5 linked regions of the Rattus norvegicus genome follow. The main gene of each other region encodes a partner of the protein of the gene in region 5 in a complex. Links are inferred from orthologs where the notes say so. Each region holds a gene or a part of one and is shown on either strand. Other genes may lie near its edges.

The links. The genes of interacting proteins can lie anywhere in the genome.
Region 1: the proteins of Rps6ka1 (region 5) and Sntg2 are in contact, whole or in part, in a crystal structure (PDB 7QQL), measured with the Homo sapiens proteins. The link is inferred for Rattus norvegicus from reciprocal best matches to the Homo sapiens genes RPS6KA1 and SNTG2. Residues at the interface, in NP_002944.2 of Homo sapiens: Pro731, Ser732, Thr733, Thr734, Leu735; in NP_061841.2 of Homo sapiens: Gly82, Gly83, Leu84, Gly85, Leu86, Ser87, Ile88, Lys89, Gly90, His94, Ser101, Lys102, Phe104, His134, Val138, Leu141, Arg142.
Region 2: the proteins of Rps6ka1 (region 5) and Magi1 are in contact, whole or in part, in a crystal structure (PDB 5N7F), measured with the Homo sapiens proteins. The link is inferred for Rattus norvegicus from reciprocal best matches to the Homo sapiens genes RPS6KA1 and MAGI1. Residues at the interface, in NP_002944.2 of Homo sapiens: Pro731, Ser732, Thr733, Thr734, Leu735; in NP_001028229.1 of Homo sapiens: Arg480, Gly481, Phe482, Gly483, Phe484, Thr485, Val486, Val487, Gly488, Asp490, Lys499, Ser500, His532, Val536, Phe539, Gln540.
Region 3: the proteins of Rps6ka1 (region 5) and Sntg1 are in contact, whole or in part, in a crystal structure (PDB 7PC8), measured with the Homo sapiens proteins. The link is inferred for Rattus norvegicus from reciprocal best matches to the Homo sapiens genes RPS6KA1 and SNTG1. Residues at the interface, in NP_002944.2 of Homo sapiens: Arg728, Lys729, Leu730, Pro731, Thr733, Thr734, Leu735; in NP_001274742.1 of Homo sapiens: Gly67, Phe68, Gly69, Leu70, Ser71, Ile72, Lys73, Gly74, His78, Ile80, Ser85, His118, Glu119, Val122, Leu125, Arg126, Arg141.
Region 4: the proteins of Rps6ka1 (region 5) and S100b are in contact, whole or in part, in a crystal structure (PDB 5CSJ), measured with the Homo sapiens proteins. The link is inferred for Rattus norvegicus from reciprocal best matches to the Homo sapiens genes RPS6KA1 and S100B. Residues at the interface, in NP_002944.2 of Homo sapiens: Ala697, Met698, Ala699, Ala700, Thr701, Ser703; in NP_006263.1 of Homo sapiens: Ser42, His43, Phe44, Leu45, Glu46, Ile48, Val53, Val57, Ala84.

Annotation. Positions count from the first base shown.
Region 1 is NC_086024.1:52,728,173-52,732,385, reverse strand, and holds the start of Sntg2 (gamma-2-syntrophin), read left to right. Parts: upstream 1-1,413; 5' UTR 1,414-1,512; coding exon 1,513-1,584; intron 1,585-4,213. UniProt on the Homo sapiens protein: Adapter protein that binds to and probably organizes the subcellular localization of a variety of proteins. May link various receptors to the actin cytoskeleton and the dystrophin glycoprotein complex.
Region 2 is NC_086022.1:128,365,427-128,369,502, reverse strand, and holds the start of Magi1 (membrane-associated guanylate kinase, WW and PDZ domain-containing protein 1), read left to right. Parts: upstream 1-1,276; 5' UTR 1,277-1,868; coding exon 1,869-2,181; intron 2,182-4,076. UniProt on the Homo sapiens protein: Plays a role in coupling actin fibers to cell junctions in endothelial cells, via its interaction with AMOTL2 and CDH5. May regulate acid-induced ASIC3 currents by modulating its expression at the cell surface.
Region 3 is NC_086023.1:14,768,232-14,772,380, reverse strand, and holds the start of Sntg1 (gamma-1-syntrophin), read right to left. Parts: upstream 2,801-4,149; 5' UTR 1,639-2,800; intron 1-1,638. UniProt on the Homo sapiens protein: Adapter protein that binds to and probably organizes the subcellular localization of a variety of proteins. May link various receptors to the actin cytoskeleton and the dystrophin glycoprotein complex.
Region 4 is NC_086038.1:12,378,282-12,382,281, reverse strand, and holds the start of S100b (protein S100-B), read left to right. Parts: upstream 1-1,200; 5' UTR 1,201-1,312; exon of another isoform or gene 1,313-2,363; intron 2,364-3,072; exon of another isoform or gene 3,073-3,188; intron 3,189-4,000. UniProt on the Homo sapiens protein: Small zinc- and- and calcium-binding protein that is highly expressed in astrocytes and constitutes one of the most abundant soluble proteins in brain.
Region 5 is NC_086023.1:151,371,065-151,374,564, reverse strand, and holds part of Rps6ka1 (ribosomal protein S6 kinase alpha-1), read left to right. Parts: intron 1-179; coding exon 180-338; intron 339-3,500. UniProt on the Homo sapiens protein: Serine/threonine-protein kinase that acts downstream of ERK (MAPK1/ERK2 and MAPK3/ERK1) signaling and mediates mitogenic and stress-induced activation of the transcription factors CREB1, ETV1/ER81 and NR4A1/NUR77, regulates translation through RPS6 and EIF4B phosphorylation, and mediates cellular proliferation, survival, and differentiation by modulating mTOR signaling and repressing pro-apoptotic function of BAD and DAPK1.

The DNA of each region.
Region 1 (4,213 bases), on a different chromosome or scaffold from region 5:
GTTGTATAGCTTCCCACAGCAGCCCCAGTGTGTGTCAAGTATCCTGAATCAAGGACCATGGAGTGAACACAGAAAGGGTTTCAGTGAGCACCAAGAAAGACACAGTATTTACCAAATTAATAATTAGCTTAGCTTTCAGCAGAAGATGCCCATGTTTTTGTTTTCTTTGTTTGTTTTGTTTTGTTTGTTTTTACCTGCAAAATTTGAACTTGTATCCAGTCTACCAACTCTAACAGGATGAATAGGTACATGCTTACCTCTCCTTCAGACTACAGGATGAATCTTCCCTTTGTAATTTAGGTAGAGGTCTATCTTCAGACCTCTGATTTCTCAGAGATTGAACTCATGTACTTTTCAGAATGCAACTTCATGAACCAAAGCTGTGGAATTGTAGGCAGAGGGTGAATAAGACTTGGGAACCTGGAAAGCCTTGCTCCTGTACCGCTGGGTCACAAACCCAGGGCCACTCAGGTTTCAGCTGCGAATGGTTTGCTCCACATTTGTCTGTCCATCGTGAGCCATGACCATGAAAACCCCACCTTAGACTGCCAGTTTTTCCTGACAGTGCAGCAGTAAAGTCAAGATAAGCATCTCAGGATGCTGTCCACTGGTGCATCCATGCCTGTAAGTGATAGTAGCTAGGGGTCCCAATATCACTTTTAAGATATTTCTTTTGACACAAATCTGATCTAATAAAAGACACTTTCAACTTAGACTGGTGACTACGTTGGAGCCTCTTTGGAAAGTGTGGGAGACAGAGTAAAATTGGGGGCACAGAACCTAGACTGCCCTCAGAGTGGAGCTTGTAGCTTAAGTAGATGCCACGAGAGGAAAAGACAGGCATACAGGAATGGAGACCACTAATGCTTTCTTTTTTTCCCCAGAAAGTAGATCCTTAGGGTAGCCAGGCTAGGTTATGGTGTGGAAATCCGGAAAAAGGACCCAAGGCTGCTGTCAGGATAAAGCACCACCACACTCAGAATCTAACAAGCTTTGCCAGCAGAAGTGACCAGGAAGCATCTGTAAGTACTAGTGATGATACCACCAGAATCCACTGGGAATAGCTTATTGGTCCCCAATGGCCCAGGTGCCCGGTTAGCCTTCCAACCCTAAGGGAGGCGCGCATCTGAGCCTGTTTCAGCTCTGTACTTTGCTGGCCAAGCTGGGGGAAGTGATGGTCCCCGCACGGAGGTGGGAGCTGGCTTTACAGTTCTCACAAACCAGTACAACCATCATCACTGACTGGAGGTGGAAGGGCAGAGCTGGTGGGCGGGGTTACCGGGCATAAGGCGGGGCTTGATGGTAACGGGCGGGACTTGGTGGGCGGTGAACAGAGTAGTAGGGGCCGGGCTGCTGGGAGGTGGGCGGGGTTCCGAGCCTGCCCTGCTTGCTAGCGCAGTGGCTGCTGGCTCTGTCCGCCCCAGCCTGTCCACAGAGGGGCGCGGGCGCCGTGCAGGCGCTGGACTTAGGAGCTCCGGAGCCCGAAGCGCACGCCTAGCCGCGTGGGCGGCGATGAGCGCCGAGGGATCGCAGTCCCTGGCCGCCCCCCGCGGGCGTCCTAGTCACCTACTGGTGCCCGCGCGGGTGAGTGGGGTCCCCTGGAGGCCCTCTGAGTCCCTTCAGTCTCCCTGCCTCCCCTCCTTTCCCAGCGCCTCCTCCTTTCTGTGAGTCCTTGTGTCCCCCTTTCCGGGTGGCTCTTGTGGGCGGGGGTTGGCTCTGGGCCCTGGACATAGTGGATACCAGGAGCCCCTGGGTACCGCAATCTTGTCTTCCTTGCATCACAGTTACCAGCGTGCAGGTTTTTATTTTCTTATCTTTAACATCTGGGTCATGGGGCACAGGTGCTTTCTTTTACTGCGTGGTAGCTAAGGTCTTCCAGACCATGGGGTTTGGGCTCTGCCCAGCATTTCTTCCAAGGAGTGGTCTCTCTGGTCCCAGGCAGGGGCTTTTGCAGCAACTCAGGCACTCTGCAGGGGTTCTCGTTGTCCCCTTGATGAGGTGTGATGCCAACTGTCTCTGCTTATCGCTTGAGCCACCAGCTCAGTATCTCCAGAAACCAAGACGATGCTGATGGGCCAACTTTGCAACATGTTTTTAAAAGTCTATTCTAGGTCCTACCCACCCACCCCCCTATTTTTAAAAAACGAAACTATTGATTGACAAAACCCTGAAATGTTGGTTTAAACAAAAACGGAAAGTTCTTGGAAACCTTCAAGTTGCCACCCACACAGCACAACCAAGTGTTCTGGAAAGGGTGCAAGACGGCAGCTGTTTATCGTGGCCTTAGGAAGCTGTAGTGTGTCCTGGGGTGCAGTCACACCTCCTCTTTAACTATGCTCAAACGCCCAACCTTCAGCACTACTGGAGAATAAGGTCCTTTTAGGGTAACAAAGGTCTCTAAGACTGTAGGCTGGAGTGGCTGCTAACTGTCCAGTCACAATGCTTCAGAAATAGCTAGTGCACAGTGCTATGTTTACTGGGTTGAGACCAGTGTATCTGCTTTGCGAGTTGAACCATCCTAGGGAATCCTGCGACATCTTCAACATTTTGGGTGGAACATGGTAGGATTTTTGTTTTTTGTTTGTTTGTTTTATTTTACTTTTTTGTTTAAAATCTTTGTAATGTGAGTAGTTAGTTACCCAAGTACAGCAGATGGGACTCATACCTTAGAAAATACACTTAAGATTACCTGGAAATAGAAGGAAGCAAGTTGTCATTGGCTTTCTGACGTACTATTCTCGAGACTTCAATAGAATGTCCTCCCACAGTGCATTTTGGGAAATAGTCTTGCAACAAGTCCTGTTAGTAATTGTTATCATTAGAGGAAGAGTGGAAGTGATTTAGTGAAACAGAAGTGGCAGACTTCTGTTTTAAGTGCATGCATTTCATGGAAGCCTTCAAAAATCTTGCTGAACTCCATGTCAATCACTAGGTTGCTAGACAGCCCAAGACCTGTTCAGCATCCTATGTGTAACAGGAGCCCTAATGACGTGAAATGGCCCATCAGAACTGTACTCGAAGGGAACTTTTGCCACCGTTAAGGCCACACACTTAAGTCATCACGCAGAACATACCTGTGGTTTGCAGTAATGCAGTGCAAAACCCCAATATGTGAGGTTTGAGGTTGTATTCAAAGTAAATCTGCTAAGATTGATATTTATATCCTGGGAGAGTTCAGTCTCCCAGGATTGTGTTAACTGTACTTCATGCTGCAGTACTCGAACCTCTGATGGATGGCACCTAGCAAATCCCTGGAGCATAGACATCTTTGAAGAATTCCACAGTTCCTTAACAATTACTGTACTGAATTGAACTTCAATGCCTAGCTATGCAATCTTTTCAGTTGACAGAATTTTGAGCATCTACTTAGAAAATTAATTATAAACGTAGATGGCACTGGATCTATTGTAGTCCTACTTTTAATTTTTCTGTCTGAAGTCAAAAGTATAATGTATTCTTCAGAATGGCTGCTCGTTTGAATCATAGCAATTGGGGCAGATTTGGTGTCTCACACACATTTTCTGAGTTAGGTCATTTCCTAAAGTTCTGTTCTGAGATCAACCATTCCGTGGACCAAGAGCCTGCAGTTCTCAGCAGGACTTGTGTTTCTTGAGTATTTTTCTGTTTTCAGGGGGTCACCCTTCAACACACAACAGTATGACCTGGGAAGCTGCAGACTCACGGGGTGATCCACCCTGCCCTGCCATGGGAAGGTGCAGAGATCTCTGAAGGCACATTTAGTAATGGCATCACTTAGCCATTCTGCAGGGAGGGAGGTTAGGACTGCTACTACTGCAGAAATAACTTAAGCAGGCATCGAAGGATCCCAACTCTCCCCTTTGTTTCCTGCTCCTGTTACATGCCCTTCTTTCTTTCGGACACTTTTGATCTCACCAATAGAATTTCTTTTGGTGCCTGTGACATCATAGGCCAGATCCATGGATATTAAAATAGGGAGTCATTTGTTTTTACCAGGAGATGTGTCTCATGCTGAACATATAAACAGGACCTAATTTAGAAAATGGCATTTACTTGTCAAAAATACCAGAAATTTAATTTGTCTTTTTTTTCCTGAAATATGTGTAACAACTTCTTATATCTACATATCTGTATAGTTTTCAGATATATATTCCAGGACAGCTCGCACAGCACACTTTTGAGAAGCCAGAGGTGATGGCATTGAAGCACAAGACGAGAGGGAAGCCATTACACC
Region 2 (4,076 bases), on a different chromosome or scaffold from region 5:
TTTTTATTAACTTAGAATAGCTCTCCAGAAACAGGGCTTGAAGAGCTTAAATATATGCTTAAGTTCTACAGAGGGGATTATCTCTACCCTACAATCCCAACCACTAAGGACTCCGATTCCTCATCCCCCACGCCAACCCCCAGTTATCAGACTGTGAAATTTTATATGCTACCATACAATTATAAACTTTGTAAGTTTCCAGTGCTTATGTATTATTTCTAACAACTGTGGGGATTTGGTTGTATTCCACCAGCTTTGGCAAGTGGAAGGTCTGAGGTTCGTTCACTTAAGGTCTTGAGTACTTGAGATGCCTGCGGAACTTCAGACTTTTCCTCTCAACCCACCTCACCTTTCTGAGCGGCTCCAACTAAGCTCCCTTTATCTAGTAGATTCTCAAGTCTGTGACCAAAGAGGAACTCATTGGAAACCACTGAAAAGTAAACGAAACCGCTAGGGCCACTGCTGCACTAGCCTCTTGGCGGTGGGGGCTGTTCTTTCTGTCCCAGCCTCTTCAGCGCTGATTACTGCACCCAGCCTCTGGGCGGCGAATTCCGAGGTGGCCGGCGCGCCCACACGTGTGCAGGACCCGCACCCTGCGGTGATCTTTACTCCCCAAAGCAGTCCTTAGGGTTCTCGGCTCTCCCAGAAGCTAAAAGGGGCTGGCCGCTGCCGCCCCTTTGCTGGAAGGACAATGAGAAGTCTTAGGTAGAAGACTCGCTCACCGACAGTTTTCTCCTTGTCCTAAAAAGTTGGCCCCAAAGTTTAACGGTGGGCGCGGAGAGAAATGCAGAGGGTGCGTGGGTCTTGCTGGTTCGGGTCCTCAGCGTCACACAGACAAGAGCCAGGCTCCGCCATGTGGACTTGAACCCCTGGGCCGGGAGCAGGCGCGGAAATGAGGCGGAAGGCAGTGGGGCCGCGAGAGAGATGGCGTGGCCACCGAGGGCGAGGAGGGAACCTGGCTGGCAGGCAAGAGTGTGAGCCCCCCGCCGAATTGGTCTCCCAGCCCCCACCTGTTTGAAAGGATTTGTTAAGCACCAAAGCCACATTTCCTGCGTTACGAGAGCTGGAGTGGGGCACGCGCACGTGTTCCCCAAAAGGCTCTGGCTGGGCCGACGGCACAGGAAAAGTAGGAATTCTAGGGGTGCAGATACAGGAGCAAGTTGGCGTCAATGGAAGGTCGGCCCTAGGACCCCGCGGGAGGCGCGTTGGAATCTCTCCCTTCCAGGAGGAGGGGTGGGGCGGGCCTGCCCGCGGGCGGCCGCCGAGCGCATGCGCGCGCGCCTCCTATCCAGCCGGCCGCCGCGCTCCGCCGCGCGGAGTAGAATGAACTGTAACAAAACAAGCAGAGCCTTTGTATCTGCTTAAAGGGGCCGCGGCCACTTCCCTCGCGTCCCCTCACCCCCGCCCCGCGCCGCCGCGTCTCCAGGGCTCCCGGCAACTAGCTTGGAAAGGGCTTCCCTCGCGCTGAGGAGCGGCCGGCGGGCGCGGAGCAGGCGCGGCGCGTGTGGAGAAAGCTGCGGAGCAGAGAGCGGGCCCGGGCGGCGTCGGAGTGGACTCTGGTCCCGGGAGCGCGATCGGCGCCGGAACGCGGACCCGGAGGCACCGGAATGCAAACAAAGCTCGCGGGCGCCTGTGCAGGGCTCTCAACGGAGCCCGGAAAGTTTGTTTTATGATGGCTTGAGAGCGCGAGAGAGTCGGGCGAGGAGGCTCGAGTAGCTCGCTCCCGCGCTCCGAGAGAGAGATGCTTCTCCCGTGAGCCCGCCGCTCCGGGGGCTCGTGCTGTGGGGGCACCTGTCTCTCGTTTTAGCAGTTTTCCTTTTTTTTTCTTTAATTTTAATTTTTCTTTTGAGGAGGGGCTGTAACTCATCATGTCGAAAGTGATCCAGAAGAAGAACCACTGGACTGGCCGCGTTCACGAATGCACCGTGAAGCGGGGACCCCAGGGCGAGCTGGGGGTGACGGTGCTGGGGGGCGCGGAGCATGGGGAGTTTCCGTACGTGGGGGCGGTGGCGGCGGCCGAGGCGGCGGGGCTTCCCGGCGGTGGCGAGGGACCGAAGCTGGCTGAAGGTGAGCTGCTGCTGGAGGTGCAGGGGGTCCGGGTGTCCGGCTTGCCCCGCTATGACGTGCTGGGAGTCATCGACAGCTGCAAGGAGGCCGTCACCTTCAAAGCCGTCAGACAAGGTAAGACGGGCGTGTCTTTGGGGGGGCGCACCCCGAAGAAGAGGGGAGGCCTGAGGGGGCGCCGTTTGCTCCGAGTGCTGTGAGCCAAAGTTGAGGCCCGGGCCAGATGAACTCAAAGTTGTGCGGTTGTGGGCTGCGCGCCCACCTGCGTGGCGGCCAGGGGCCGGGGTTGCGCCGGGAAGCGGGGAGATGCTTCCCAGGCCTGGTTTGCCAACTTCTTGTCGTAGCCACCTAGTGCTGCGCAGCTTCGTCTGCACCTTAAGGCAGATGGGTAACTGAGGCAAGCTAAGGTGGACGCTTTCCACAGCCCCTTATGGGATAGATGAGCTCACCGAGCTGGTGGCTTGCCATTGCTTGTGTTCCCTGAACTGGAGAGTGGGTCGTGGAAAGGGAGGGTCTATTTATGGTTGACTGGAATTCTTACTTCACAAAATTGCCTTCACCCTGCAAGCCCTCCAGGTGAGGTTGGGTTATGACCCCCTAGAGTCCTTAATCTAGCCGCCTGCAGAGCCTGCATTCACCCCACAGCGGGGTGACGTCTGTGTCTCCTCCTTGTGGAGACCTACGGTGGGGGAAGGGGTGTTTAGCTCTTGGCGCGAATCTAGTCCAAGTTTACCCAGCCGCCGCCTCCCCTTGCACTGTCGTCCTTATTGATGATGATTGTTGAGAGATTACAATTCATTGTTAGCGTGCTATATGAGAGGCTCTCTGTAAAGTGGTTTAATTGCATTATCTCATTGTGATTCACAACAATGCTATAAGATCGACTTGTTTTTGTAAGTCCTATATTACAAAAAGTAAGCCGGAGCTGACCTAGGTAAATGACTTGCCCAAGGTCACACAACTACTAAAGTGTATGGGTCTTTTCTGTTAAACCTTGAGCGAGGAGGAGGAGGGCTTGAGGGGATGACTTAAGGGGCCTGAGTTTTGGGGTGTGTGTGGGAGAAGCAAGGCCTCTCTTAGAAGTCTGTAGGGTAGGGATGGCTTTCTAAAAGACGCATTTGATGACTCCCTCGCAGTTTGGTCTGAGCAATGGTCTGCTCTCTGTCTGGCTACCGGAGCATAGCTGCAGTACTTAAAGGCATCCCTCCTGCACCCGAGTGCTGTGACGCAGGTTCTCCCAGATGAAAGCACCAGAGGAGGTGGCAGAGTTGAATGTGGTGAAAAGTTGCCATATGTTCCTGTCAGGATGGCAGCAGCTGAAGGAAACGTGTCAAAGGAAAGCCTGGGAGAGCCAGCTCTCTCCAGCAGCAGGCCTCTTCCAGATGACCTGAGGATGAGTGCAGTATTGTGTGTGGTTAGCCCAGTAGCCCGGACTTTCTACCGTGTTGGGAGCGCAGAGGCTGACACCTAACAGTGGAATGTCCTTATCTTGCTGCTTGGCCTTGTCTGATGACTATGTCCTTAGGAGTTTCTCCTAGGACCGTAACCCAGGAAGTGTGCACAGCAGTGCTGGTTCACAGTAAGTGCTCAGTAAAAGTGAGTTATGGTTGTATGTTGTATTAGAGTTGAATTTAAGCAGTTAGGAATTCAGTTTTTAGCTAGGAATTTAGTGCCAGTTCCCCGGGTGATAATGACTTGGTTAGGGCTGTTGAGAAAATACTGTGACAGGCATTTATTTATTGGGGGGTAACATTGGGTTTGAGTTCAGGCTCATTTTGCAGAAAGATTTCTCATCCAGCAGGATGTCTGGGTGGTGGTTAATGGGTCCTAAGATCTGTTGGCCATGGGCAAGAAGCTGCCAGAAGCTTAGCTCTTCCTTCCACTGTTTTGCAGAGATCCTTGATGCTGGCGCCTTCCCTTCTTCCCCCAACCCTCTGTCTCTCCTGTGAGCACTCGCCCTTCATTGGTGGAACTGGGGGAAAGATGCCTGTGGATTTGACAGTTACTGTAGT
Region 3 (4,149 bases), about 140 Mb from region 5:
ACTTTTAGGTTATTCAGTTGCTGTTCTACATAGAGAAAGCCTGCCCCCTCCACCACTGAGAAGGGAACTGCGGTCAACAAGACACACCGGCTTCATTCCAGAACACATTCCCACATTTCATTTTATGCTCCACTGACTTGGGGAGTCCGTCTACACTAATTAATTAAGGACCAAAATAATAGTCTTGTCATGAGCTGTATAACTCTGCAAAATGTGATGCCATCTCCCACGTGGTAGGTTGCTTCCACATTTCTTAAAGTAGAAGATGAAAGGGGGTCCACAGGAAGAATCCACATCAACTGCTGCAGCCTTCTAGTCCTCCGAAGATCATTTCTGACCTATCTAGGGCAAGCATGCCTCCAAGGAGCTACCGCTCTCTATCGGCGATGCAGGCAGCTACGTGGTGAGTGACAGTTAAAAATGACAAGTCCTCTGAGTAGAACTGTTACTCTCTCCCGGTCACTATAAAACAGGCAACCATTAGTCTACCAACAAGTACCAGCCTGGCTGAGGAGATTAGGTGTTCAAATCAAGAAAGTGAGAGCTACTGTGGATGAGATGTAAAGGTATTTTGGGGGGGGGCTATACATGGTTTATAAATTATTTTAAAAAAATCCTTCCAAACTCCTGCAGTTTTTCAAGACAAACTCTTTCCACAGACTCGGCTAAGCATATGCCGTCATGACTATGAGAATCATTCCTGTGAGTCAAAGCTCTCCGTTGAGCAGAATGCGCTCAGTGGAATTGAATGAGTTCTTTCTGAAATGCCAGCCATGGACTATACATTTGTATAACAGCTTTTTACTCAGAAAACCCTTTTCATTAAAGCCCAATGCTTATCAAGGTCACTGTAGAAGCTGTAATCTTAAAGCTTTAGAGGAAGAGTCTAGAAAGAAGTATCAAAAAATTAATTATCATGTTAAGATTTATGGTCTGTTAATAACTAGTCTCTGTCACTTGATTTCAGAAACAAGTACGTTTTGTAGAACTAATCAGTCAGGATGTTGAGGGAACCCCCACTCTCCTACAGATGCACAAGAAAGCTGCTCACTTCCTGCCTTGAAATATCTGTTGATAAGTCTAAGGTCTAGCTACACTTGGGGGCTCTGACTACAAAAGAGATCAGATATTGGTGTATACATATTCTGTGCCTGTAAATATTTTAGCAAATTATAATAATCTAAAATACTAGAAGAGGTGATTGAGCCATTTCCAACTTTTTGATATATATTTCAAATATGTATTTCAGAGGCAATGCAACACAACCAGAATCGCTTTTCACTGAATACGCATGATCACTAAGCACCAGTGGACATTAGTTTTAAAGAAAACAATAAAACACATAGGGATCCCCAAAGCTGTTAGTTAAGAAGGCAGAAAATGTCCAAGTAAAAGTTTGCTATGCTAATGGAAGTCAGCTACATATTGTTGTCACCTTCGTCAAGAGATTCCAGAAAAGTAAAATTCCAGACATAAGAAATTTTTTTCTAAGATATTAATTTAGGAATTATTATTTTTAAACAAACAGAAGAACTCATTTTCCTTAATCCTCAACATGTGATGTTTGCATCTTTTCTTTTAAACCTTGCAAAGTCCTTAGTGTGTGTTAAACGCAGAGGAGAAAGTATTATCACGTACCTGCTGAGCAGAGGTGTCGACGCCTTTTACTCCACTTCTTTAACGTCGGGGTTTAGAATCTCCGACCTCTCACAAAGCTATCTCCACAGCAGCTGCAATCCACTCAGGGACGTGCTTATTTTAAAAACTGTGGGCCTTTGAGTATTTCAATTCCTACTGCAGCGCCCATGGCTCCTTGGTGCCTCTAAGAACTTCAACTCCACTCTTCTGCCTGCATTCCCCCCAGTTCCGTTTAGAAAATTCTGCGTAAAGTTGCTGCCTAGAGTTTAACTCCGTGGAGCCGAGTAGATATAAGTGGCAGAGGATGAGAAGGGCTGGTTTTCATCCATCAAAGAAGGGGACTGGAGGCACCGCCTTTTAGCTGCTAAGAGCTCTTGTTGAAGACTGTGGCCGCGAGGACAGCAGCAAAGGCAGCAGCAGCAACACAGTTGGGTCCCCCCAGGCAGCTACGCAGCTGGGAGACGCTGTCCATCCCCTCCGGTGCTGAAGCGAGGGGGACAGGACCCCCTTAGCCCACTCCAGACCCTACACTCCTGCTAAGGCCGCTTCCAGACTTCCAGCTTTGCCGTTTCTCCGCCGTGTTTCACTACTCGGGGATTAATGATCTCTCCAGCTTGATACCCTCATGTGTATACGTTGGCAGCGTTTCCAGAGAGGCAGGAATCCGTGGGAAAACAAGAGCTGAGCCTCTTCTGAGTTCACAGCGGCTCTGAGTAGGTTTCCTAAAGGTAGAAATGAAAAAGAACGCACGAACACGGGCGCGCGCACAAGCGCTCACAGGGAGGTGGGGTTAGAGAGAAAGAGACAGGAGAGAGAAGGGGGAGGAGGAGAGAAGCTGAACACTGTGGAGACTGTAGAGGTGCTTTGGGAAGCTCGTGGGTCCTTAATTACATAAGATGATAAGGGCTATTTCGGGGGTCCCCCGCGATCTTGCTTCCCAGCCAGAGCGGGGACACGTTCACATTTTCGAAGCTCTAGGTGGAATTCCGAGACGACAGAGTCAGGATGCTCAGCTCCCAGATACACAGACAGACTCTTGCCAGAGAATGCAGAAGCCGTGGAAGGGCCAGGAAGAATACCTTTGTTTCCAAGAGATTGTAGCGCGGCAGAGAGCTTAGTCGCGGCCGCGGGACTCGGCGCGGGCGGCAGGGCCAGGGAGCTTGCGTTCCAGCGCCCGCCCTCCCACCGCCCACCGCTGGGTTCCCGCAGGGGCGGGGGCGTGTCGCCGCACAAAAGACTGGATAAGGGTAGTGGATCAGGTAAGCAGAGCTGCTAAGCCATCCCTAAAAGGATCCCGCAAGGCCTAGGTACCAGACTGAGACGTCCCCGGGGACGTCTCAGAAGCTCAGTGGTCAGGCTTCTAATGGCGCCTTACTGACCCCACTCCAGCAGAGAAGCTTGCCTTAGAGCTGGACCCGGGTTCGAGTTGGTGGCCCAATAGGAGGCCGCCGAGGCTCAACCGCCCACGCAAGGCAACCGGTACAGGCACGAATGGAGCGAGATGGGGAAATTGAGATACACATAGTGGAGAATGGGGCAAGCTGCCTAACACAGCGCCCTTGCGGCGCTCCGGGTGACCGTGGTAAGGCTGAAGAGCGCACCACAAACGCGAGCCTGGGCAGCGCCCAGCTCCAGCCAAAGAACTTGTGTAGCACAGACTTATGCACCCCGAGTTTGTTCCGACCGAGGGGCGTTGGGGCTTAGCGTGGGGACAGCGCGTGGGCACGCAGTGCTTCTGGATGCTCGCTCATCTCCTCCTCCGACGGCTCTGGGGAATTCGTGGAGTGATTGCACGCGTGTCCCTCTATGGGGTTCTACTCCCCCTCGGCCCGGGTCGCTGCGCCTGCGGGTCCCGGCTCACCGGGCGGCATTCTGTGAGGTTCACCGGGCTGCAGGGTGGGCTCTGGAGGCTACAGCAGGGCCAAGGGCCAGGCCACTTCCCGGAGGGAAACTAGGGAGTTCCGGAGAAGTGCATGTAGAGTCCTTCTTCCAGCACAGACCCTCCTTTCCCTGGTCTGGCGCCATTCCTTGCAGCAGCTGCAACCTCAGTCTCCTTCTAGAAGTGTCGCCCCGTTTCGGGATGCTTTGTGAAGCTTGTGGAGTTACCCCTCACAGGAAAAGCTCAAGGGACCAAGCTTGCCCTCACTCTCTCCACGTTTGAACTCTAGTCCAAAGGTTGTCCGGTTGGTGCTGCGCTTGAGCACGCTGAGATAACGCTACAGAACGATGCAATTTGGGACTAGGAGCTAATTTTAAAAGATCTGCTTTGTTTTCTCCGTTTCCTGGAGAAACAAATCCACTGGGGTTACGGTAAATTACGTTTCCCCTTCGTTTTACCAAGGCAAACACGTGTTTCTGGTATCCACGCAAACAAGTACGGGTTTGTACAAATAAGTTTTTTAAGGTGCCCTATTTTTTTGTCAGAGAATGAAAATTGCTTGCTTAAAGGCTGTTTGTCTGTTGTGTCAACCCCTGCAAATAAATGGGTTTTCTTTGCTGTTTTGCATGTTT
Region 4 (4,000 bases), on a different chromosome or scaffold from region 5:
CGTGTGTATGTTCATGCACTCGGGTTTGAAGATCTCTACTTAAAGTCAGTGTAACTGACTGAAGACAGCTAGGGAGGGGTCAGAGAAGCCTCGATCATCCGGTACCCCAAGCGACATCACAAAGTAAGGGTCTCTTCCCAGCCATGATTATCATAACCGTCTCCCCCAGTCAGCTCCCTTTTATTGTCTATTGATGACTAAGAAGATTAGGGGACCTAATCTTTGGGGACCAGTGGCTTTGATCTCCTATAGATAAATGGTGAGTCGAACCAGAGCAGGGGTTTATACCTCCACCCCAAAGCTAACCTTTCCTCAAGAAAAGGTTACATTCCAGGGCAGGAAAACTTCATTCTACCTCTAGCATGTCGAGTCAACTTCTTGGTCTCTGTGATATTTGGGTGACTTTTGTCATGTAGCTCTTCCCACAGACACTCCGGACTCGAGGTGCAAAGGGACGTGTGTGACTAAGCTATCCTCCACTGGGGAGTCTTCTGGGTTAGTTTTGTGCCTTTGTGACAAGAGGCACAGCGTTTCTTCCCTATGTGAAAAGAGCACAGGACGGGCCATCTCTAAAGCATTTCTGGTGCAGACAGCTCAACCTTTGACCAGGGTGAGAAGGGAGAGAGGCCTAAGACACAGCTGGCGTGTCTTTCCCTCTGTGCAAAAGTACTAAGTTAGAAAGAAACTTACCGCACCCTGGTCCCTGAGAAGACTGGGTTCAAAGAGGAGTCTGGGGGTAACCACTGCCCAGCATCACCAGCCACAGCATGGCATACCTGTAGGAGGGGACCAGAAAGCTGGCAGGCAGGCAAGATGCTCAAGAGGCCTCCTTGGAAGCCAGCCATAGCCACACAGCCTCCAGCACTCAGCACCAGAAGTTTCCAGTTCTTGGCTGCGTATCTGCTGTTTGAATCAATTCACCCACGCTGTCTCTCCCCTCTTCCCACCAGCCCCCCAATCTTGCCTCTGGAACAGCATCAATATTCATATCCTAAATTTAAACGGCACAGAGAAGCTGACTCCACATTTCCTGCCCAACAGACCCATATTCTTTCTAGATCAGATCCAATTGTGGCTGCCCAGTGGGTCCCCAGGGTACCACTCAATGGGGCCCTGTATGCAGGCCCGGTGGTTGTCCAGCTCCTCCCTAACCTTGGCCCCTATTGGCAGTCGCAGTCTCAGCCTGCAGCGGACTGCGCCAAGTCCACACCCAGTCCTCTCTGGAGGAAGAAAAAGGAGCTTCTCTGTCTACCCTCCTAGTCCTCGGACACCGAAGCCAGAGAGGACTCCGGCGGCAAAAGGTGACCAGGAGGTGAGAAAGAGTCACTGGCAGGACCCAAGAAAAACCGCTTCTTTCTCTCTTTGCAGGGTGAGGGGGTGAAGGGGATAGGATGGGAATTGAGCTTTGAAACTTTTTAGAAAACCTTTGGGGACGTTTGGCTGCATTCCAAGGCTTCCGATGAGGCCGCCTTTCTTGTTTCCTTGTGACAGTTGTTGACATCTGTGCTGCCATGGAATTGTGTCTGTCCCTGTTTTCGTGAAGCCAGAGATCCCTTGGGTCATTTTTTCAAGATTCAGAATGACTACTGATGTTTTCAGAGATGGCATCTAGGGCTTCTTCTCTACGTCCTAAGGGAAGGATTTTCTTTCTTGGAATAGAGTCACCCCAAATCCCCAACCACAGCGCTCCCTTTCTCCTGGTAGCTTTTCCCGGGGGTCCCTGGAGCACCCAGGTGAGCTTTTCCAGTTTCCCTCTTTGAAATGCCAAGAACTACATCTCCAGACACCGCTCAAAAAAAAAAATTGCAAAGTAGTTGAATCTTTTCAGATCATTATGAATTGGGGCAGAGAAATGAGGGTTTGGGAGTGGCCCTGACTTCTCTGTTACCCCTCCTGGGGAGGGGCAGTCTTTGTGGGGAACCCCTCCCCGGACAGGCAGTACCATTCCAAGAAGCTCAAGCCCTGTGTTTTCTTTATAAAGTCTCCTCCATTTGTCTTAGGAGACAGACAACTAACTTCTTTAGTTGAAAGAATAGGGGAAAATTTGGAATGTCTAATGTAGTCGTGAGAAAACTCAAATTTTACGGACTTTCCTAGCACATGGGATGTGGTGTGACACCGTTTGTTCTTAAGCCTTAGTCCTTATCCACAAAAAGATCATTTAGCCTTTCCCTCCCCCAGCCGTTAGGACTTTGAGCAATATCAGTATGATGCAGAGTTTCTGGAGACTTTTTTTTTTTAAATCAATAACTGTGCTGGGTACGAGCCAACCCTCGGGAGAGTAGAGGCAAGAAGATCATGATTTAGGAGAAAACTTGGGGACAGTGAGACCTCGTGTCAATCTGAAAAGGAAAAACAGGCAGGTAATTCTGCGCCTGGCTTCTCCTCCCCTCCCCTCCTCTCCCCTCCCCTCCCCTCCCCTCCTCTCCCCTCCCCTCCCTTCCCCTCTTTTCCCCTCCCTTCCCCACCACTCTTTTCATGCCACTAAATGTTTCATAAAAAAACCAAACAAAGAAAAACAGTAACCAGGGGCGTTGGGGATTTAGCTCAGTGGTAGAGCGCTTGCCTAGCACTTTGCCAGCTCCGAAAAAAAGAAAAAAAAGAAAAGAGGAAAAAAAAAAAAAAAAGGTAACCAGGGCTGGAGAGATGGCTCAGCCCAGCATCCACACTGGCAGCTCACAACTGCCTGTCACTCCAGTTCCAGGGGATCTGACACTCTCCCAGCCTCTCTGTGGGCACCATGCATGCTCACACATACCAGCCTGCAAAACACCCAGACACACACGCGTTTCTTTTCTTCTTCTTCTTCTTCTTCTTCTTCTTCTTCTTCTTCTTCTTCTTCTTCTTCTTCTTCTTCTTCTTCTTCTTTTCTTCTTCTTCTTCTTTTTCTTTTTTCTTTTTTCTTTTTTTCGGAGCTGGGGACCGAACCCAGGGCCTTGCTCTTGCTAGGCAAGCACTCTACCACTGAGCTAAATCCCCAACCCCACGAGTTTCTTTTTAGCTAAAAGACCAACAAGAACGGAAAACACAAGTTAAGAAACCAAGAGAGAGCATCACCTCTTATCCCTTCAGGTTCTATTTATGGGAGGTACTTCAGGTATCTGGAAAAGACGAGCAAACTGAGGAACCAGAGGGTCAACAAAGGCCAAAAACCTTCCTTTCTCTTGCTGAGATCGTTCATAAAAAATGTAAGAAGTTACTAAAATCTAATATGTTCATCATGGAAATGACTTTTGAGTGTCTTTTGTTTGTTTACTTATGACGGTGCAGATTCTGGCTTAAGGATCAGAACTCAAGGCCAGGAGCTGTCTCTGCCTAAGTAGCTGGTCTCTGAAATGAGCCCAAGGCCGCCTCTCTCTCAGAGAGTTGAGCAGCCATCCCCGATTCCCCAGGCTGTGGCTGCTGCATCAGGTGCTCTCTTGAAGGCTGTTTGCTTCTCGCAGGCACGCATGCCTGTTCACAAAGAAGCTGCTGTACTCTGAGGCCAGGCTAATGAGTAAGCACAGAACGCTGGGCTGTGCCTTGGTCTCCCTTTGTCAGCATGCCAGGAGAATCATATGACCTTGGAGTCCGTGTTGCTGCAAGGTCGCTTCACTGTTACTTTTCAAAACAGTTGGTACAGGGATACCTTTAATCCGGATGAATTTTACAGTCTACTTTTTTTTTTTTTTTTTTTTTTGGAGCTGGGGACCGAACCCAGGGCCTTGTGCTTGCTAGGCAAGCGCCCTACCACTGAGCTAAATCCCCAACCCCTCAGTCTATTTTTTTTGTTTGCCCCCACCTCATCCAAAAAAAACCTCATGTTTTTATTTAAAATCTTAAACGGATATATTAATTCATATGAAAATGAGCTTTGTTAGGTCTTTTTTTAAAGGTATTTATTTATTTTATGTATGTGAGTACACTGTCACTGTCTTCAGACACACCAGAAGAGGGCATCTGATCCCATTACAGATGGTTGTGAGCCACCAAGTGGTTGCTGGGAATTGAACTTAGGACC
Region 5 (3,500 bases):
CTGAGGACTCCAGCATTCTCTGACCATCATAGATGAGACCAGCGCCCACTGTCCAGCAAGACGGGAGCCCAAACGGGTGGTGGGCCCTGAAATAAATGTTGGCAGAACCCAGCCTTGAGGCTTGCTTGTCTGGAGAGCTGGTGGGTGAGGTCGCAGCCTGATGACGAGGTCTCTGGCAGGTGTATGACGACAGTAAGCACGTATACCTGGTGACAGAGCTGATGAGGGGCGGGGAGCTGCTGGATAAGATCCTACGGCAGAAATTCTTCTCAGAGCGGGAGGCCAGCTTCGTCCTGTACACCATCAGCAAGACTGTGGAATACTTGCACTCCCAAGGGGTAAGTCTCCGTGAGAGGAGTTGGGGGTGTCCAAGGTCGTGACCTGGGTAGAATGCAAGAACTGGCTGGCTCATGAGGGACCGTCTCCAAATTGCCAGTCAGAGGGGACTCCGGTTGGGTAGGTGGCTGGCTGTAAGAGGAATGGGGAGATGAGGGCTGGCTCAAGACCATTTGTCCAGAACCTACTGTGTGCCACACCTAGTGTGTGCCGCACACCAGGACAAGTGTAAGAGAAAGTTTCCTTGGTTCTTTCAGTGGGATTTTCACCAAATCCTGAATTAGATGTTTGATTGGTTGAATGACCTGTCAGGTTACTGGCACTTGACAGATCAAAAGTCTGAAGGTTGGGGTTGGGGATTTGGCTCAGTGGTAGAGCGCTTACCTAGGAAGCGCAAGGTCCTGGGTTCGGTCCCCAGCCCTTGGGGGGGGGGGGGGAGTCTGAGGGTTGGAGCTGTACAGTCTTTTTCCCAGGATCAGACAACCGGGGAAAATGGTGACCAGAAGTTGCAAGGAGGGGTAGATTTTTGTTTGGAAGATGCAGGGTATTCGAGAGGATGACCCAGGTACTAAGAGAGAGAGAGAGAGAATGGGTGGGGCCAAAGAGCAGGGTATGGCTTTCTTTGTTGATGTTGCTTTGGTGGGTAAGCTGAGTGGGCGGTTCAAGTTCCTCATAGTGGTTCTCTCTTGGCTTGGGTGATGTTTTGGGGAGCGTCTGATCAGACAGTGAAGGGTTAACAGTGATGGCAGTCTGGTGTCCTGAGCCTTTGATCTCAGCACTCAGGAGTCAGAGGTCAGCCTGATCCAACTAGTGACACCTTATTTCCAAAGAGGAAAAAAGTATAGGAAGTTAGACATGGCTTCCCACCTGTAATCACTTGAGAGGCCAAGGGAGGAGGAGCATCACATGTTAGAGTTAGGCCTTGGGTATGTGCCACCACCACGTCACACATCTACAAGTATGTAGTATGTATGTATGTATGTATGTATGTATGTATGTATGTAGTATATGGATGTATGATGGATGTGTGTATGTAGTGTGTGCGTATAGCATGTATGTAGTGTGTATGTGTGTGTAGTGTATGTAGTATGTATGTGTGTAGTGTGTGTGTGTGTGTGTGTGTGTGTGTGTGTGAGCTTGCATTTGATTAGGCGAGTATGCGGGCTGGTATGCATACGTGTGCTTGAGTGTAGAGATCTGAGGTTGACGTTGGATGTTGTCCTTAGTCACGCTACATTGTGTATATACTGAGGCAGGGTCTCGAGTTGTTCCAGGACTGTGCTGACTAGCCAAGCAATTTATCTTCAGATCCATCCCTGTCTCCGCTTCCTGAGTGTTAGGATTACAGGGATCCTGCTGTGTCTGCCCAGTGTTTACATGGCGCCCTCTTTTGCTTTCTATTGCCGTGACAAGGAGAAAAAGGTTTATTTGGATTATACTTCCCACGCCACAGTCCAGTTGAGGGAAATCGAGGCAGGAACTGAAGCAGAGACCACGGAGAAGCATTGCTGACTGATTTGCTCACTGTGGCTTGTTTAGCTTGTGTGTGCGTGCGCACACGTGCGTGCATGAGTGTGTGGGGGGGGTGTTTTCCCTGCAAACATGTCTGTGTACCACATTTAGTTCCCTAGTGCCTGCATTGGCTAGAAGAGGGCATCGGGTCTTATAGAAATAGAATTACAGACTGTCGTGAGTATAACCCAGAACTATGTGCCCAGTAGGCTACACGGAGAAATCCTGTCTCCAAAAAACAAAACAAAAAAATGCTATGTGCGTGTGAGCGAAGGTGCACACTGCCGGCCAGAAGAGGGCAGGTGTGAGCCACCAGTCATGGGGCTCGGCATCAACATTAGTCTTCTGGAAGGGCAGCTAGTGTTCTTAACCATCTCCTCAGGCCTGCCTCAAAACAAACAAATATAAGAAGGGTACCATGCAGCCTGCCTCTGACTAGCCACATTGAACAGGAATTGATGCTTGACCTGGAAATACCTGTAGATGAAGAATTTTTGTTTTTGAGGTAGGGCCTTCTATATCCTAGACCTTTAATTCTTGTACTCAAAAGGCAGAGACAGACAAATCTTTATGAGATCAAGGACAGGCTGATCTACATAGAGAGACTTTGTCTTCAAATGCATGTGACCTCATCCACCTGGGCCCTGTTTCTTTCGTTCTTTTCTTTTTTTTTTTTTTAAGATTTATTTATTATATTTATATAAGTACACTGTAGCTGTCTTCAGACACACCAGAAGAGGGCATCAGATCTCATTACAGATGGTTGTGAGCCACCATGTGGTTCCTGGGACTTGAACTCAGGACCTCTGGAAGAGCAGCCAGTGCTCTTAACCACTGAGTCATCTCTCCAAACCCAAGATAAACAGGAAAAAAAGGTAAAATAGGAATGGAACATACTTAAGGTGAGAGCAAGGTTTGGCCTCTGCATTTGACCTTCCCCTTTCTCACCTGTAAAGCTATAGGTTCCAGTATTTTCACCCATGAGATTATGAAGCAAGATTCCTCTCAGAGGCCTTGAGACTAGAGAGGCCTCGTTAGGTGAGAGCAGCGACAGCTTTGGCAGCCTTTGCAGCTTTTGTTTTTATTAGTTTTGAGATAAAGTCTTAGAATGTAACCTAGGCTAGCCTAAAATTTGCTATGTAGCCCAGGCTAGTTATGAAGTCACCCTGCAGCCTTGCCAGGCCGACCTGAAACTCACAGAGATCCACCTGCCTCAGCCTTCCCAGTGTTGGGATTACAGACATTATAGCTCTGTACCCAGCTAGAAAACTTAGCTATTACAGGCCACTGAACTTCCAGGAATTCTAGTCTTCTTGGATTTAACTGTGTCTATAGTGGAAGAATTCGAAAGGGGGTTTATCATGACCATGTCTAACCATCGGCATCCAGTTATGTGTTTTAGTGACGGGGTGGGAGTAGGGAATCATGATGTCCTCTGCTCATACCTAGGGCCAAAGCCTCTAGTCCCTGAGCTGGTTCTGTAGAACAGTCAGGCTCTTGTTCATACTTACGATTGGGTTCTTTCGCAGGACCGTTTGGTGACATGGTCTGTATTGGGCATTCTGCTCCAAAGCATTAAAGTAGGACTGGGGCTTGGGGAGGCGGCCAGAATCACTTTTCTACTCAGTGGGACATTGTACTTGATCCTGCAT